Linked DNA regions of Nothobranchius furzeri. The protein of the gene in region 3 purifies or fractionates together with the protein of the main gene of each other region. This does not show direct contact. Links are inferred from orthologs where the notes say so. Each region holds a gene or a part of one and is shown on either strand. Other genes may lie near its edges. The genes, in order: tsen2, tsen54 and tsen15.

Region 1 (5,948 bases), on a different chromosome or scaffold from region 3:
GTTCAGAATCTGCTCGAGTCCAGAGGGTGTCACAGGTGCCCGTCAGTGCGCCCCAGTGTGTGTTCATGGGTGGATGACTGTTGGGTTGTGAGGCGCCTTGGGGGGTTGTAGGACTCTAGAAGGCTCTATACAAATACAGGCCATTTTTACCATTTGGTGGTAACAAGAACCTTCATGCTTTCCTACACGATGGAACCAGAGGAGACCAGCCTGGACTGAGACTGCCACTCTGGTCTGAATGACACGGAACAGCTGCCAGGCCAAAAGGTTCTGGACCTTGTGTGTGTGTGCATGATGGGAGATCACTGCAGCAGTAGAGCTGTGAATTCTTTGGCTGAATCACATGAAGCTTTTTTATCATCTAATTGTAACCAGTGTCACCTGGTATGTTCCAGTTCAAACCAGTTTGAATTAGTCTAACCAGCATTTTCTGCTGTTTGTGTCTCAGAGACTTTGACGGGACGTCCGATCTGCACACCGGCATCTCTGACACTAAAGGTAAAAGCTCGACCTGAGGCGTGTTGGACCGGGTCTGCGAGGGTTAAATGGACTCAAGCACTGAAGAGAGCCAGATGTTCAGAGCAGAAACTGTTTATCAGCACTATCGACTGAACAGCCAATTGCAGCAGCAGCAAAGATGCTGTTAGGAGGAAGTCACACTCAAACGGAAGCCACCATCAGAAATTTGTGTGTTCACACACCTCTACGAAGCCTTGCTTACAGGAGAAGTTCATGTTGATCTTTGACCTTCAGGAGAGAAAAGAAAAAGTCAAAAAGATGTGAGCGACAATATCTAAGAAGGAAGAAACAAAAATAAATGAAAAAGTTATAAAATGGTTTGATGTAAAGATTTGCCTGTTTGTGTTTGTGTCCCACCTGAGTGTCTCACCTGAGTGTCCCACCTGTGTGTCTCACCTGTGTGTCTCACCTGAGTGTCTCACCTGAGTGTCTCACCTGAGTGTCTCACCTGAGTGTCTCACCTGAGTGTCCCACCTGTGTGTCTCACCTGAGTGTCCCACCTGTGTGTCTTAGGAGTTGTGTACAACTACACTCAGGATGGCGTGCAACGGGACCAAAGCGGATGGGAATGCTGCATCAGTGTCCCGCTGGTCCGACCTGATATGTTCCACCTGCTGGATCAGTGGGACCAGTACCTGGAGCGTTTCTCTGATGGACCCATGTGGGATCCTGTGTGGCACAAGTAAGTTTCATGTGAGACATCCAAAGTTCTCTCCGACCACCACCTGACCACCAGTGTGTATCTCAGGTTCCACGAGGACGACCACAACTGCTTCAGCTTCTGTCTTCACTTCCTGAACAGCATCCTGGAGGCAGAGGGACGCAGCCCTCTGAGCAGAGAAGACTTCACCCACTGCTTCATCCTGCCCAAGATGAGGAGGGTGTCCAAATACACCACGCTGTACCAGCACATCCAGAAACACCAGTATTATGTGGTGGACAGACAGGAGGACACCACGCCCACCAGTTAAACCAACTTAATCAGGATGTCATTACCCCCAAAATACCAAAATTCTAAATTTAAATGTAACACTTAAAGAAACACTGCAGATATAAAGCAAATATCTAAAAACACAAACATCACCATAATGGAGAGGACCTCTGACCCGGGGGTTTCGGTGGGTTTGGTCTGTTCTGGTGTTTCAGAGAATATTTATTATTCATTTAATTGTCTGACATTGTGAATAAGTGAAACTGATTTCATGTTCTGTTTTTGTTTGAGTCTTTGGTCCTTCCTAACTTTGTTTTGTATTGTTTTATTTATTTTGTAAATAAAAATTTATGTGTGGCCTGTTTCAGACTCAAACAGAAACAAGTGTCTGAATCAATTAGAACCGTAAAGTGAACAAAAAGTCAACGTTTTAAAAGCTTCTGAAGATAAAGTGAAGTACCGGTTTATTGTAGATTATACTTCAGACAAAAATCACATGAAAATAACATTTCAGCTGTAGGAGGAACCGATAAAATTAGCCGATGTTGGCGCACGAACATATATTTAGTTACACTGCCTCGTCCGACAGTAAAACAAGTCCCCTCGCTGAGTGCTAACAGATGCGCTAACAGAATAATACCGACCCTACAGTTCTCACCATCAGCCCGGAACCAGCGCGGGCTCTGCCGGAGCCGGCACCATGCGGGCAGAGTTCCGGGCTCCCCAACGACGAACCCGGGTTTATGAGGACTACGAGGCTCCGCTGCCGGTGAGCCGGGACCCGCATGAGAGGAAGGTCTACCGAGCGGAGCTCATCAACCAGCAGGTTCTGGTCTGTCATCCGGACCACATCCAGAAGATCCACAACCAGGTCAGAGTTCGTTCACATTAGAAACCAGGTCTTGTTCTTCGTCTCCTGTCAGCCTGCCTTTAGTTTTTATTCCATTTCTGTCCACTCGGTTGTTTGGTTTGAATCGGAGGCAGGCGAGTCTCACGTAAAATGTAGTTTGTTTTGACTGACAGCTCTGGGTTGTTCAGAGATCCTTGAGACCTTCCACTGGTTCCTTCCCGGTTCCTCCACACTTAGCCCCCTGACCTTCTGAAAGCTGTCAGTAGAACACATCTAGACTGACCAGAGTTTGTTGTTTTCAGGGTTTCTTTGGAAAAGGTGTTCTGTCCAGAGCCAGGCCCAACCACAGCGTCTCGGACAAATGGGAGCGTGAGTTGACACCTGCAGTGATGTCACTGTCAGTCTGGTCCAGTCTGTGCTGTTCACACCTGGTCTCTGTTTGTGTTACAGAACACGCAGGTCTACTTCTGCCTGTTGTCTCTCCATCCAGGTCAGTGCCATCATAAGCTACCTGTTCACACAGTGACATCACTTCTGTTATGATGATGTCACACGTTATCTTTCACAGGTATGAGGAGCTGCTCAGATGGGCAAAGGAGGCTCTCTCTGCTGAAGGACTGGATGAAGAAGTGTTCGGTAAAACCCTGCTCGCGTTGACTCGGGCAGTGGACATTGAAGATGTAAAGAAGGAGTTGGGAGGAGGGCAGGCAGAGGGGGAGAACGGAACAAGGGAGGAGGAAGAAGAGGTGAAGCCAATAGAAGCCTGTGATCTCCCAAAGGGGCAGAGGTTGGAGTCAGAGGTGGAGCCAGAAGCCAAGAGAGGCTGCAGGTAAATGTAGACTGTTTTATGTCAAACCAGCACACTTGGCTTTGTTAGAACCCTGAAGGTCCTGCTAAAGTACCAATAAACTAAAGACATGGTTAAAAATGAAAGGTACAGGTGATATTCAAAAGGACTGAGAGGTCAAACACAAATTCTGGCTCAGGACAGCATTTGTAGAATGACAGATCAATCTAGAGTGAAGATTTTCATGACTGTGTTGAAGCTGATAGAAACAGCAGGTTCTTGGTCCATCTGAGCTTGCATGAAGGTCCAGATTTCTATCCAGAGAACTGCCGTTTGGCCTGGGAGGGTTCTTGGGTCAGTGCTATGGGGCTCTCTGTATCCCTAATGGGCCAACATAGACCAGCTAAATCCCCAAAAGAACCCCAGTGAGTCTGATGAAGCCCCAAGTTGGTCAACAGGCATAGGTTTATAGGATTTTAAATGCAGCAGAAAGCCTTTGAGACCAGGGAAACATAATGCAGGTACAGCAGTAGCACAAAGAGGCTGATGGAGGGAGCTGTGAATTCAGGCCAGCGTGCAAGGAGTTTTGATCAGTTGGTTTTCTTCGACCGAATAAACCTTTTTCTTGTCAACATTCAGATCAAATCAACAGGATCCTGATTCTAGCTCTGAACAGGACTCTGACTCAACCCCAGATTCTGGTCCTGATCCAGCCTCTGACTCGGATCTCGATAATGGTCTTATGGTTCCAGGTCCTGGTTTTGTCCTGGTGGTCTCTGAAGGTCAGGTGGGTCTCTGAAGCTGCAGGTCCTGTTGTGTTTCTGAGCTGCTTCTGTTGTTGATGATTTGCTGTCGTATGGCTGCAGGACGGAGGAGGAGTCAGAGAGGTGAGGCGGAGTCCACTGTCTTTCACAGAGTACCTGCAACTTGGTCTGGAGGAGGTAACACACCTGAGTCATGGACTTTGATTAGGTTTGCTTCAGTATTTACCTGCCCACTCACCTGTCTGCTGACCTACAGGCCTTCTTCCTGGTCTACAGTCTGGGTTGCCTTTCCGTCTACCTTCAGCAGGTGTGTAGTGTTAGTTCATCGCTTGGTTCCTATCATAAAGAGTTGAACTTGTCTCTGTTCTCTCCTGTGATTGGTCAGGAGCCACTGTCAATCATCCAGCTTTGGAGGAAGTTCCGATCGCTTCATCCTGACTTCATCAGCTTGTACGCTGCTTATCATCATTTTCGCAGCAAGGGGTGGGTCCCTAAAGGAGGAGGCGGGGCCAAGTATGGTGCCGATCTCAGTAAGAACAGAAATCACACAAATATCTAGTCAGTCAACAATCAGAGCAGATTTACCCAAAAATGCTCTGGTGCTGTCAGATTTAAGGTAACGATGATGACTCTGAGAAACATTCAGTCTGTGTTTGTTTCCAGTGTTATACAGGAAAGGACCGCCTTTCTACCATGCCAGGTAACACACACACACACACAGTCGTACTTGTCTCCGTATCCTTGTGTGGACCCTCCATTGACTTCCTTTCATTTTTGTGACTTCACTTTTCCTAATCCTAAGCAAAACCCATGGGGTTCTATTTTTAACCCTAACCTAAACTAAGTGAATTCACACCATACCTCTAGAACCAAGTGTTTGGGTGCTTAGCGTTGTGTGGACCAGCAAAATATCCCCACAGTGTAAAAATGTCCTTGCGTTACAGGTTAAAGTTAAAAGTACACACACACACACACACACACACACACACACACACACACACACACACACACACACACACACACACACACACACACACACACACACACACACACACACACACACACACACACACACACACACACACACACACACACACACACACAGAGTCTGCCAGTAGCTGTAGGAGTTTGGCCTCTGGAATAAATGATGGTTTAGTCTGCAGATCTACACTCGTATGATTGACGGAGATAATTTTACCATCTCTCATAAGTGAATAGATTTTTTTTCCAATACATTTTTATTTGTTCTCTGTTGCTGGAACCGAGTGATCCATGTCCTGGTAGATGATGAACCTGTTCCTATGACTCGTCCCTGTCCAGTTACGGTCTGAACTGGGGTCCTACGAGCTTCCTAACTCCTCCTCAGTGACTAAACATATTTCCTCTATTTACAGGACCCATATCTTCATTTCTTACACTTAACTGCTCCCAATATTCTGGTGTCCTCCGTGTCCCTCAGATTGTCCCTGTTCTCTTCCTGTAGTTATTCCGTGGTAGTTGAAAGGACAGATGAAACATTCAGGGGCATGGCTCTGCGTCCGTTTTCATGGCGTTCTCTGGCCGCTCTCAGCAGGATCACAGCAAACGTCTCCAAGGTAATGTCCTGCCAGGTTTGTGCCGTCATACATGGCCATTATTCTGACTCTACTGATGCTAATCTGTGTGTGTTCGTCAGGAGCTGATGTTGTGTTACGTCATATACCCCGCTGACCTATTGGAGGCAGAGCTGGACTCACCTGTGTGCCTGAGCAGGTTGAAGGTTCAGGTAGTAACCTGTCAGTGTGTCACATATCAGCACTAACTGCACACCCCCGTCCGTAAAAACAGCCACATACAGTCAGGTCCGTAGATATTGGGGCATCGACACAATGCTAACATCTTTGGCTCTATACACCACCACAATGGATATCAAATGAAACGAACAAGATGTGATTTAACTGCAGACTGTCAGCTTTTATTTGAGGGTATTTACATCCAAATCAGGTGAACGGTGTAGGAATTACAACAGTTTGCATATGTGCCTCCCACTTGTTAAGGATCCAAAAGTAATGGGACAGAATAAGAACCATAAATCAGACTTATACATTTCAATACTTG
Region 2 (5,161 bases), on a different chromosome or scaffold from region 3:
AAGAGGCTCGGCTACGTGGTGCACAGATTTGATCCGAGGTAACAGAACCGTTTGTTCGATGCAAAAATATTATTCAGCACTTTGAATAAATATTGCGATATAATCTGAAGCATGATTAGTAACATTATTTATCTCAGCCCATTCTTATCTTCTGATTATACGTCAGGATTACAGTTGGAATATTCTCACCTACCAGATACAGGCAGCAACACAAAGACTTAAAAAAGAACAGAATGCCATTTAAAAGACATTAAACGTGCCAAAGTAATAAAAAAAACATAAAACTTTATAGTCATTTTATGGTATGCTATGATTAAAGGGGCATTGTGGAAGTTTGACAGCCAAAACATGTATAGAAATAATAAATGTCTTCTTCATACATTCTCCTGCAATGCCCTGGTCCTGTAGAATGAGCCCTGGCATTTTTACTGTGATTGCCTGTTTTTCTGTAAAATCACAGAAAAAGAGAGATGCTCGGGTCGAGCAGGCTGCTTCATGCGCGTTCACGCTCAGGCATAGCCCGTAGCATTTGCTATCCGTAGCTTTAGCAGCAGAGAGAGAGGCAGTGCCACTTTGTCGCTGTTCCTAACGCCTAGTGACAAAGCTAGCTACGTTTCTGAGGACCCTTAGCTACTTTCTGTGGCACAGGAGTTAAGTGCTCGCCCCGTAATCGGAAGGTTGCAGGTTTGAGCCCCGCTCAGTTTGTCGCTGTCGTTGTGTCCTTGGGCAAGGCACTTAACCCACGTTGCCTGCTGGTGGTGGTCGGAGGGACCGGTGGCACCTGCGCTCGGCAGCCTCGCCTCTCAGTGCGCCCCAGGGCAGCTGTGGCTACATCGTAGCTCATCCCCACCAGTGTGTGAATGTGTGTGTGAATGGGTGAATGACTGATTGTGTTGTAAAGTGCCTTGGGGGGGTTCCAGGACCCTAGAAGGCGCTATATCAAATACAGGCCATTTATTTTTATTTCAAATTTAGTTTAATTAGCTTTTAGCTGTTTGCGAGTTTTAGTTTAGGTTTTATTTAGTTTAAATGTTTAATTGCACATTAACAGTGCTACATGGAATTTGCATTAATGCAATATTAACTTAGTCTTCTTTACAAACTCCTCCTCCTCCACCCGCTCCAGGCTCTCAGCAGCAGACACTCCTTTTGTCCAAAGTAGACGCAGCAGCGTCCATCAGCATGTCCAATCGCAGAAGGCTGAGTCAGAATATCGTTGGCTAAATCCAGATAATTTGTACCATATACTGTTTATATCACCCGTTACTAATAGGATTATATCAAAACAAGCTGCTTCATTAAAAAAATAATTAAAAAAAGGTCAAATCCATTTGATTTGACACAAAATACATAGTGAGATTTTAGAATCGGTGTCTTTCTGGGTTTTGTTTAAAGATAGAACCAAACTGAATAGATAAACGCAGTTTTCCTTGTTTAAAATGAGTGGCAGACTTGTTTGTGTTGTTTTTTTCCAGCTTGGAGCCGTCGTCCTATGTGAGACAGCTGAACCTGCCCCAGTCCCATGAGCGAGGAGGAAGAACGCTGAAGAGGAAACGGAGCGTCAGCCCGACGTCCAGGTAAGCAGCCCGATCCTAAACCCCAAACCACAGTTTCGTTACTGCCTGGTTTAACCATCAAGGGAAATAATCGGGACAAAACTTGCATTTACTGTTTATTTGTTTATCGTAAAAATGCAGCTCAAAGTGTTTTAAAACATGCTACAAATGTTTCAGTTAGAAAAACTCACCAGTTTGTTCAAAAGTATTTACGAGAATCAATAACGAGTGTTTGGTAAAGAAGGACTTCCAGTTAAAAACAACCAGACATCAAAGCTCTGAAAAAGACGTTAAATGAGGAGCAGATGTGCACGTGTGTGGAGGTAAAGCTAAGAAATACAAACGTTTTAAGCTACGATCATTAAGTTAATGTTGGTTAAAAAATGAAGTAAATACGTTTACTTTAAAATGAGAGTTTTAACATTATTATTTGATAAAAACTGCAGCTTCTCCCTAACAAGCACAAGTCTGCAGCTGGTTTGTGTTTTCTCTGCAGTCAGACTGAAACACGAGCTGAATCCCCCGCTGAGAAAATGGAGGAGGATAGTAAACTCCCCGAGTCACTCCTAGTGACCTCTGCAGAACCTCCTGAGGCCCAGAACGCCTCCATCAGCTCTGCAGATGACAGTCGGGTCAGAACCTGGAGGACCTGGAATGGTCCTGGACGAGACTCTGAGAAAACCTTGATCACCGCCTCTTCATCTGCTCGCTCACGCTGGGACTTCAGCACCATCTTCTTCCCGGACCTGGGCCACGGGGGCCAGCGCCCCAGCTGCATGGCCCCCCCGGACCCGTCGCTGCTGCCTGCAGATCTGACGGCTGGAGTTTGTGACGTCGCAGCTTGGAGGCACAAAATAAACCTGCGACATGTGAAGATGTCTGCAAAAGAGAGGAAGAGGGAGCAGCACAAACACAGGCGGTGGCGGGACATGAACAAAGACAAAGAGGTAAAAACTAAACATATCACGGGTGGATAAGTCACACTTATTTATTTGTTTATTTAAAGGTTCGCAGGTGCAGTAACTGGGCGGAGTATCACGACCTCTTGGCAAGGCGGCAGGCGAAGCCCCGAGGCCAACCTGCTCACTTATGGAACGCGGAGGTTGAGCCTTTACACAACCCGACTCGACCCCTCTCCACTGGTGAGCTGGTGAAGGATCTGAGTGTTTATCGGTTTAACTCTGATTAAAAACTCAATATCTGTGTTTCCTATCAGCGGAGCTGCTGGACAAAATCAGCGTGATTAAATCTACACATCTGCTAGACGGAGCATCCAGGTACTGAATGCTTTTATGAGACGTTAAAGGCGGAGAAGTCTTACGAATGTGTTTGATGTGAAACAGTAGATCTAATCCGTCTGATAATCACGCTTCAGAACCTTTTATTTACCCACTCGGATGTGGTTTAACACTCCCAGTTGGGGACAAAAGTCCAACTCTCGCTAATATTTTAACAGCTGAAAGAAAATCATAAGCAACACTAAAAACACTGATTTCAAAACTATATTGATAGGATTACTAATGCCATAACAACATTGCTGTTTAATTCATACCATTTGAAGCTTTTTATAACTTTTCATGCATTTTCTGTTAAAACCCAAATTTATTTTTTATCTTTTTGGTAATTTTAATGTTTTCATTCATGTTTCTGTTGCTTCTCCACCTCTTACCTTCTCTAAAGTCCGTTTCTATGTTTAGCTAAGATTTTACACTTTTGATATAATCTTTAGTTTGTGAATTCTTCCCTTTTTCCAACTAATCTTTTTATTTTTCTCTGTCTTCAGTTTCTTTATGCAAAACATTTTTAAACTGAGAATCATTCTGATGGCTTTTTCTGTCTTAATAATTGTCTGATTTTCATTTGTTTGGTCTGCCGTATTGACCTAAGAGTTTATCTGTTGGCCCTTAATTATATTTTATTTTACTGGCAACTTTTACCATTTCACTCTCATAAAAATGACTCGAAACTCCCCAAAAGATAAGTTTTGGCTTTTTGAAATATATTTTATTCTTCTGAAAAGGCTAAAGATCTCTAGAAAACTCACAAAGCACAAATATTTGACATTAAGTCTAAAAGTGTTCAAACACAGTCTGTAATGGTAACAATTAGGGATGTGAATGTTGGAGCAACTCACGATTTGATTCGATTCTGATTCTTAGGATGTCGATTCGATTCAGAATTGATTCTCGATTTAAATCGATTCACAATCAGTATTAACAAAGAGTGTCGGCTCCAGGATGAACTACTTTGTTGTACAAGTTATTTAAAGCTACGGGACATTTTTATTAGACTTTAAACTGGTCATGCTCCAAAAATGCAAATTTACAAGGTAAAATAAAGTGATTCTAAAACTGTAAACAGAAACAATCTTTTGACCAAAAGGCAACATTTATTTTTGCTTACCTTGTAAAATATAACACATGATCTGTAGTTACCTAACAGTAGCTGTGAAAGTAATATGGTCAAATACTTTTCAAGTATGTGTAGAAACAAGTTACATGAGTAATCCTGAGTACTCATTTATCAACTTAGAAAATGAATATGAGAATATCTCAAATTTCTGAGTATGGAAAAAATGACATTCAAGGGCCCTCTTATCAGCAGATTCAAACATAAATCATCTCAATTTATGGGACCACAAAAGTAATCAATCAATCAATCAAAGCTTTATTTATAAAGCGCCTTCCGCAACCCTGTCAGGAAGCCCAAAGCGCTGAACATGGTACAGTTGTAAGTAATTATACACAATAAATCAACAATAAAAGAAATTCAAATTACAAAATACAAAATGGAAATTACAAGATAGATGAAACATTCCGGTAAAATACAAATGTGTGAGACACAATTGGATTGAGTGGATGGATTGAGTGTACCAATGAAAACTGTGGAATGGATTCAACATAATAGAGGGCCATAATCAAACATGTTCTGGAAACGCCAAGCGGAGGAGGTGTGATTTTAGGTGATTCTTAAAGACTGGCAGAGAAGGGGACAGCCTAACTGAGGGTGGCAACTGGTTCCAGAGTAACGGTGCTAGGACTGAGAAAGCCCGGTCCCCACGGGTACGACACCTAGACCGAGGGACAGCGAGCAGGCCTTGGTCAGAGGAGCGCAGAGCGCGTGATGGGGAATGTCTGTTCAGGAGTGTGGCCAGATAGGGGGAGCACCACCCTGGAAGAAATGATAAACAAAGACGAGTATTTTGAATTGTGAGCGATAGCAAATCAGAAGCCAGTGCAGGGAGGCCAGAACTGGACTGATGTGGTCCCGTTTCCTGGTCCCATTCAGGAACCTGGCAGCGCTGTTCTGCACAACCTGTAGGCGACGCAGTGTTGACTGACACAACCCTGCGTAGAGAGAGTTGCAGTAGTCAAGCTGAGAAATTACAAAGGCATGCAGTACCTGCTCCAGGTGAGCTCTCGACAGCATATGCTTGATTTTAGCAAGGCGTCTCAGGTGAAAGAAACTGGACCGGATCACAGAATTGATGTGAGCATCAAATTTAAGTCCTACATCAAGTTTCACCCCCAAACTGGTAACAACTGGTTTTGAGTATGGAGAAAGAGGGCCAAGATCAGCATAACGATCCACATTCCTGCTGTTGG
Region 3 (5,831 bases):
TTTTTAGTGATTCCCACATTCGTTCCTTTATCCCGGACAACTGAAAGCCTTAAACATTGTGAGCGTGTTTACAGTCGGATGGACCGCTGCGTCGGTAGAGCCTCCCTCGTGGAACCCCTGCAACAAGGCACTTTTAGTGTGAAAGGTGTTTCCTGTCACGAGGGGCTTGCACTGTCACTGTTTTTACAAGCAACACTGTGGAACTTTGTTCACGTCTAGAACTGAGAGTTTAATAACAAACCAAGTCTTCTCCATCGGCTTTAAAAAGCGTGAGAGAAACATGGAGGAGTTGCTTTTATTTGGTTAGTTTTGCGTGGATCTCCATCTTTAGTTGTGGATTATTATTATTATTATTATTATTATTATTAGATGGGACGTTTTATCGTCAGTTGCCTTTCTGATACAAGTCGGCTGTTCCGTTCTTCACCTGCAGCTGTTGTCTCCGCTCTGGCGTCGCGGTGCTTTGGTTGCTGCTGGCAGTAACCTCCAACACAGCGGCGGCCCACCTGAGGAACAAATGCTGTTTGCCGCAGACTCCCCAGAACTTACCTCGCCACGTCCTGGTTTTCAGTCTGCTCAGATTCCACCCGCCCTTCTTCACCCCCCCACACACTCCCTATGCAATACACGGGTCCGACCCGCCGGCTGGGCTCTGTGGTGTCCCAGCTTTCTGCCTAAATGATGGTTTCTGTTAACCACACTAGTTCAGATCTATGCCCGTTGGACAAGAGTGTGGATTCTTTTGTATAATGTCATTTTAGGATCTATTATTAAAGCTTTAGTTGATTTGAGGAACTAAATAATTGCTGTGTAACATTTATATTCTCAGGTGCCATTGGAGTTTGAGTCAGCATCCAAACATAAACATGTTCTTATTTCTTGTCTTTTTGCTGATTCAGTTATTACATATCAATGACCAATCATTCCTGTGGCGTTCTTCTTCTCTTCATATGTGGAGCAGTACTGATATCCCATGTTTTCAGGGTTTGCTTACACTGCTTTCTTCCTTTGTGAAATAAAAGTATTGTTTCTGTGCTTTTGTTATTCTATCAGTAGGAATAAAACACGACCTTCCGTCACACATTTTATCCTCTTTCTGTGTTTCTTTTCAGTTTCCATTGATGTTTTCTTGTTTAATAGACAGTGTAGCAGTTTATCTTCATCTCATGACAGTTTCCGTCGCCATTGTGAGCCTCGCTGATGTTGACAGCATTACATTTTCCTTCTAATAAAGACCGATAGGGTGGTCAAAGTAGCATGCCTTAAAGTCAAAGTGACCTACCTAAAGCCCCATTCCCACCTGTACCGGGTCGGCCCGGGCCGGGTAGCGTAGGTTGTTTACATATCTGGGTGGCCTGGTATTTTTCCGGGCCAACCAGGGCTCGTTCTCAGCCCTCTTCTCGAGGGGGTCTGCTTCAGGCCGACCAGGGCCAACACACCCACTGCTGACAGCAAATTCACACCTTCCATTAGAGCAAGCCTCTGATTGGTGGGTAGAATCAGCCCACATGGGCTTAAGACAAGGATGTGTGGAAACAACCGGGCCAGACTGGGGCCGACTGGGGCTACCCGGCCCGGGCCGACCCGGTACAGATGGGAATGGGGCTTAAGTAGGTTCTGGTTGTACCCACAAAAACGGCTCTATCTGGTCTGAGTGATCTTGTGTGCCCCCTAGTGCAACATTCCAGTACTACATCCAGGGCACATCTGGCCCTACCCACGTGTTCACATTGTTCTGCGTGGGACTCAAACAGGACCTAGGCCTCAAAGTCAAATGAGTTCACTGCAAGTGAAACGAGCTTATCGGGCTGTTGTTTCTGGATTTCACAGCTACGTCTGAATCTGCCGTTCTTTAGACTTCTGCTCTTTGTTTAGATCAGGGGTCTCCAACCTTTTTTGGCCCGTGAGCTACTTTTACACAATGAAAGTACCGAAGAGCCATACGATTTATTCACACTGGCACTTTACGTGTAAATATGTTTGTTAAAAATGCCATGCTTGCTAAATAAGAATGCTTTGTTTTCACAAGTTTATTTCTACATTTCAACACATTAATATATAAAAGAAGATATTCTGAAAATCTAAACATTTTGTTTATTAACTAGTCAGTTTCAAATAATGAATAACAAATCTAATTTGTTTGAATGATTTGACATTCTTTTAGAATGGATCAGTAACATCACTTTTTGAGCACAGTCCTGACCCCCTGCCCTGTGGTTAATAATCTGTAGCAGACTCACGGTCTACTAAACTAAAAGTCAAATTTGTTACAAGCTAAATAAGTTTGTTGTTTTATTTTTTAAGTATTTTCACGGTTTTCCTCAAATAAAACGGTGCACTATAATATTACACAGCGGTAATTTTCCTATGCTCTTCCGGTTTGCGGAACCAAATATAAGCGTTCCTTTTCCCACCCGGACAAACTATTGTAACGCACCACCAACGCTCTGGTGCTGAGCCGCTCAGCTTCAGCCCTCCTGCGTTTAAATACGATGTTCGGTTCTAACGTTCAGTTACAAACATGGCGGAAGTGATGGACGGAACGAAGAAGCGAGGCGAGACCGAACCTCCGAACTGGATCCTGCAGCACCCGGTGGTGAGTGGAGGAGCCGGTGGCGGAAGCATGACGTCACCAGTGCGCCCTCTGGCACCGCTAGCGAACCTTAGAGAAGAGGCACATCTGATATGTTATCCTTCAGTACTAACGGGTCGTTTTACTCAAATTTCATTAGTAACGTTAAAAAACGTGTCAGAAAAAGTATTGGTACATGTAAATGTATAAAGAAAGAAGTAAAATAAGATCAAAACTGTAACATCCAATTTTTAGCATTTTTTATTCTACTGATGTGACATTATTAGCCTCAGAGTGACCTGGCTGTGGGCAGCTCTTTACCCTGAGGCCATAAATGTGATGAGTTTCCACATGAAGCCCATCTGCGGACACCATCTCCTGACCCCCGTACACCAAGGAGGAAATATATTGGGCCTGGCTCAAGGACCCTGAAAGGTCCGTCGTAAACCGGTTGCAGAGCTGATCTGTGGGCATCGTGGCAAATGAAAAAACATAAATAAATACCCGAACTCGACAAATCCCACAGATAAACGAGGGCAACCCACGGTGAACCCGCACCGGATGTCCGTCGGCTGGCCAACCCACCTGTGGGGGCCAAGCGCAGAACCGAGGAACAAGCCCGCCTGGCGCGTGCTGGTTGGCCAAAAAGCTAGTTCAATCAGGGATGCACCGATGTCTTCCCTAACCCCAGAACATTTTACAGAGAGCAGAAAACACCTGGACAGGTGGCTCGTTTGTCACACTCTTGCTTCAATCAGTCTGAACTCATCCACACCAGGTAAACTCACCTGACCCTTCTCCGAGGCTGTTCACCACACCTAAAACCCTCTTACTCATGGTAGAGGCTTGGTTATGTAGATGTTTACAGGAAAGGGGGAAGTGGAAAAGCATAGCATAGTGGAGGTCTATGGACCACGGGCCTGAGGGTGGAAGCATCCACCAATATCCTGGCTAAGTTTCAGACTGTCGGTCTTTGAAATTTAGACTCAAAAGGAGAAGGAAGTTCACATTTGGTCCCGAGTGTGGTAACGAGGTAGTGAAAGGGTGACGTATGAGGTAAACAGTCCAGTCTGTCGGGTGTTTGGATCTCTGAGTCTTTGTTGTGCTAGTACCAGCAGATGAAGGAACTGGAGGTTGGAGACAGCACACAGCTGCACGCAGCTTTTCTGGTGTTCATGGACCTCACTGAGGGTGAGTTAGGCCCGACTCGGCTCGGGTTTGTTCTCCTCTAACATGCAGGTAGAACCGGCCCACACGGGCCAAGGAGAACCTCCTGCGGACGTGATACAGAAATGAAAAGGACCTCCTCTTGACTCGGTCATCTCTCTCGCTCTGATTCTTGCCCTCTGCAGTGCGCCAGTGGACGAAGGTGACCTATGCCGAGAGTCCAGAGCTGCAGCTGGTTCTGCTGGAAGCCAAGGAGAAGGATGGAGGTCCAGTTCAGACGGTTCTGCCTCTGCCTGTTCACCGTTCCCTGAGCCACAGGAGGTGAGAAAAACTTAGACTTCAACCGACATCCCTGCTTACATTCAGTCACAGAGCCTTTGTCCCTGCTGTGCAGCATACGCCACCTTCTGGACCGCGGGTTCCCTTTGCTGCTGTGTGCCGTGGCGTCCGACTCCACCCTGGTTTATCAGAGGATGACCGACGGGTTGGTGACTCCAGAACCCCCCGTGGGACTTTTCCATGATGCGGGTCGTCGGCAGAAGCAGCGGAGAAGAAAGCAGTGATGGATGTGTAGGCGGAGAGTGCGGAGGAGGGTGCATTTAAACCAGCACCCTGACAGGCTGGAGGTCCGGCCTGTGGCCCAAGTTCAGAATATGAAGAATGAGCCACAAGAGTGAGCGTGACCTCAACGTGGGCCTTCACCAGGTTCTGGTGCCGGTGTGCGGGTTGAACGTCCCACATCAGGATGCTGCTGATGGTCTGGCGAAACCAAAGGTTTACTAACTTTGCTGTTATTTTTATGTCTTTGATATCCGATCCGAACACAAAGTAAACATCACTTGTGATCCAGCTGTGATGATTCTTTAAGTGAGCAGCAGATGCAGACGGGGCCTGACGGCTGACATCTGCAGCCGGGTTTAAACCTTCTCCCAAATCAAACTATGATGTCTCCAAGCTTGTTTTATTAAAACTGACTTTTGTGTTGTTGGAAGTCTTGCTCGAGGACACGACTGCAACGGGGGATTGATCCTGCAACCCTCCGGTTACTGGGGGGGGTGATCAGATAGCAGGAATTAGCAGCGCTGAATTCAAGAACCAGGGAAGTAGCGGCCGACCCAAATATCAGCCGGCCAATTTGGCCGTCGGTCAAAATTATTTTTGAAAGCCGATTAAAATAAATAAATAAATCAGGCACCGGTGGGGCCAACTGCTGCCACTACTGGAGTGAAAAAAGGACGCCAACACACCGTTTTTTATGTTTTAAGTTAGTTTTACATTTGAAGTTAAAAAATCTTAAGAGGTTCGACTTATTTAATTAATATAGCACACAGTGAGTGTTCATTTCACAATGGGTGAGCTGCTAAAATGGATTTATATATCGGGCTAATAATCGGCTTTAGGTGTCGGCCATCTGCAACAAAATCCTATAAAAATTGGTACCGGCCATAAAAACCACAGCGGTGGGCTACAGGACCGTGTTGGGTTTCGGTCCATTCAGCGATCAGCTCACCAGTTGAGCCGCCTCATCCACCGTCTCAGCCTCAACCCCGGCCTCTGTCTGTTGTGTCCTTGAGCAAGACATGCACCCTGCTGGTGTTATGAACCAGTGACCTCTGTGTTACAGCCCAGGGCCGTCATTTATCAACCGTATTCACGAACAGAATTTCGTGCGCAGGACCAACTTTACGCATTGCGCGGTGTTTACCAGTTAGTGCTTGTGCGTGAAATGTTGCTAAATAAAAGAACAGCTCTGGCCGTGCGTGTGAACAGCATCCAGTGGTAGAACGGGGGAACCGCAGTAGTGGAGGTCTCAGGCCTAGTCCACACGTAGCCGGGGTTTTTAAAAACGAATATCCGCCCCTCCAAAAACTTGCATCCACACCACCGCGTTTAAAAAAAACTCTCCACACGTACCCGGATAAATACGTTGTTAAGGACATGCCAGACCTGTAGGCGGCAGTACTTCCCCCGTTCTTAACCTCGTCCTTCGTCTGTGGTCTTCCGCAAGGAGCAGTAATTCCTCTTGCAAAAACAAACAAGCAAAAAGCGCTTGGACCATTGATAAAGCGAGCGCAGCTCTGAGGGCTTCCAT

The links.
Region 1: the proteins of tsen15 (region 3) and tsen2 purify together in Homo sapiens (affinity purification with mass spectrometry; 4 studies listed by BioGRID and IntAct, counting the BioPlex papers as one, with this or other methods). This does not show direct contact. The link is inferred for Nothobranchius furzeri from reciprocal best matches to the Homo sapiens genes TSEN15 and TSEN2.
Region 2: the proteins of tsen15 (region 3) and tsen54 purify together in Homo sapiens (affinity purification with mass spectrometry; 4 studies listed by BioGRID and IntAct, counting the BioPlex papers as one, with this or other methods). This does not show direct contact. The link is inferred for Nothobranchius furzeri from reciprocal best matches to the Homo sapiens genes TSEN15 and TSEN54.

The regions. Positions count from the first base shown.
Region 1 is NC_091743.1:77,138,407-77,144,354, forward strand, and holds the start of tsen2 (tRNA-splicing endonuclease subunit Sen2), read left to right. Parts: upstream 1-2,021; 5' UTR 2,022-2,150; coding exon 2,151-2,321; intron 2,322-2,602; coding exon 2,603-2,669; intron 2,670-2,750; coding exon 2,751-2,790; intron 2,791-2,868; coding exon 2,869-3,129; intron 3,130-3,726; coding exon 3,727-3,874; intron 3,875-3,953; coding exon 3,954-4,028; intron 4,029-4,107; coding exon 4,108-4,158; intron 4,159-4,236; coding exon 4,237-4,381; intron 4,382-4,514; coding exon 4,515-4,551; intron 4,552-5,334; coding exon 5,335-5,446; intron 5,447-5,526; coding exon 5,527-5,616; intron 5,617-5,948. Other genes in the region: MKRN2 opposite strand protein, read left to right, coding at 449-498, 1,033-1,201, 1,268-1,490.
Region 2 is NC_091745.1:25,418,296-25,423,456, forward strand, and holds part of tsen54 (tRNA-splicing endonuclease subunit Sen54), read left to right. Parts: coding exon 1-38; intron 39-1,475; coding exon 1,476-1,577; intron 1,578-2,052; coding exon 2,053-2,503; intron 2,504-2,562; coding exon 2,563-2,698; intron 2,699-2,772; coding exon 2,773-2,833; intron 2,834-5,161.
Region 3 is NC_091751.1:70,462,643-70,468,473, reverse strand, and holds tsen15 (tRNA-splicing endonuclease subunit Sen15), read left to right. Parts: upstream 1-2,400; 5' UTR 2,401-2,521; coding exon 2,522-2,596; intron 2,597-3,681; coding exon 3,682-3,763; intron 3,764-3,924; coding exon 3,925-4,060; intron 4,061-4,133; coding exon 4,134-4,302; 3' UTR 4,303-4,588; downstream 4,589-5,831. UniProt on the Homo sapiens protein: Non-catalytic subunit of the tRNA-splicing endonuclease complex, a complex responsible for identification and cleavage of the splice sites in pre-tRNA. It cleaves pre-tRNA at the 5' and 3' splice sites to release the intron.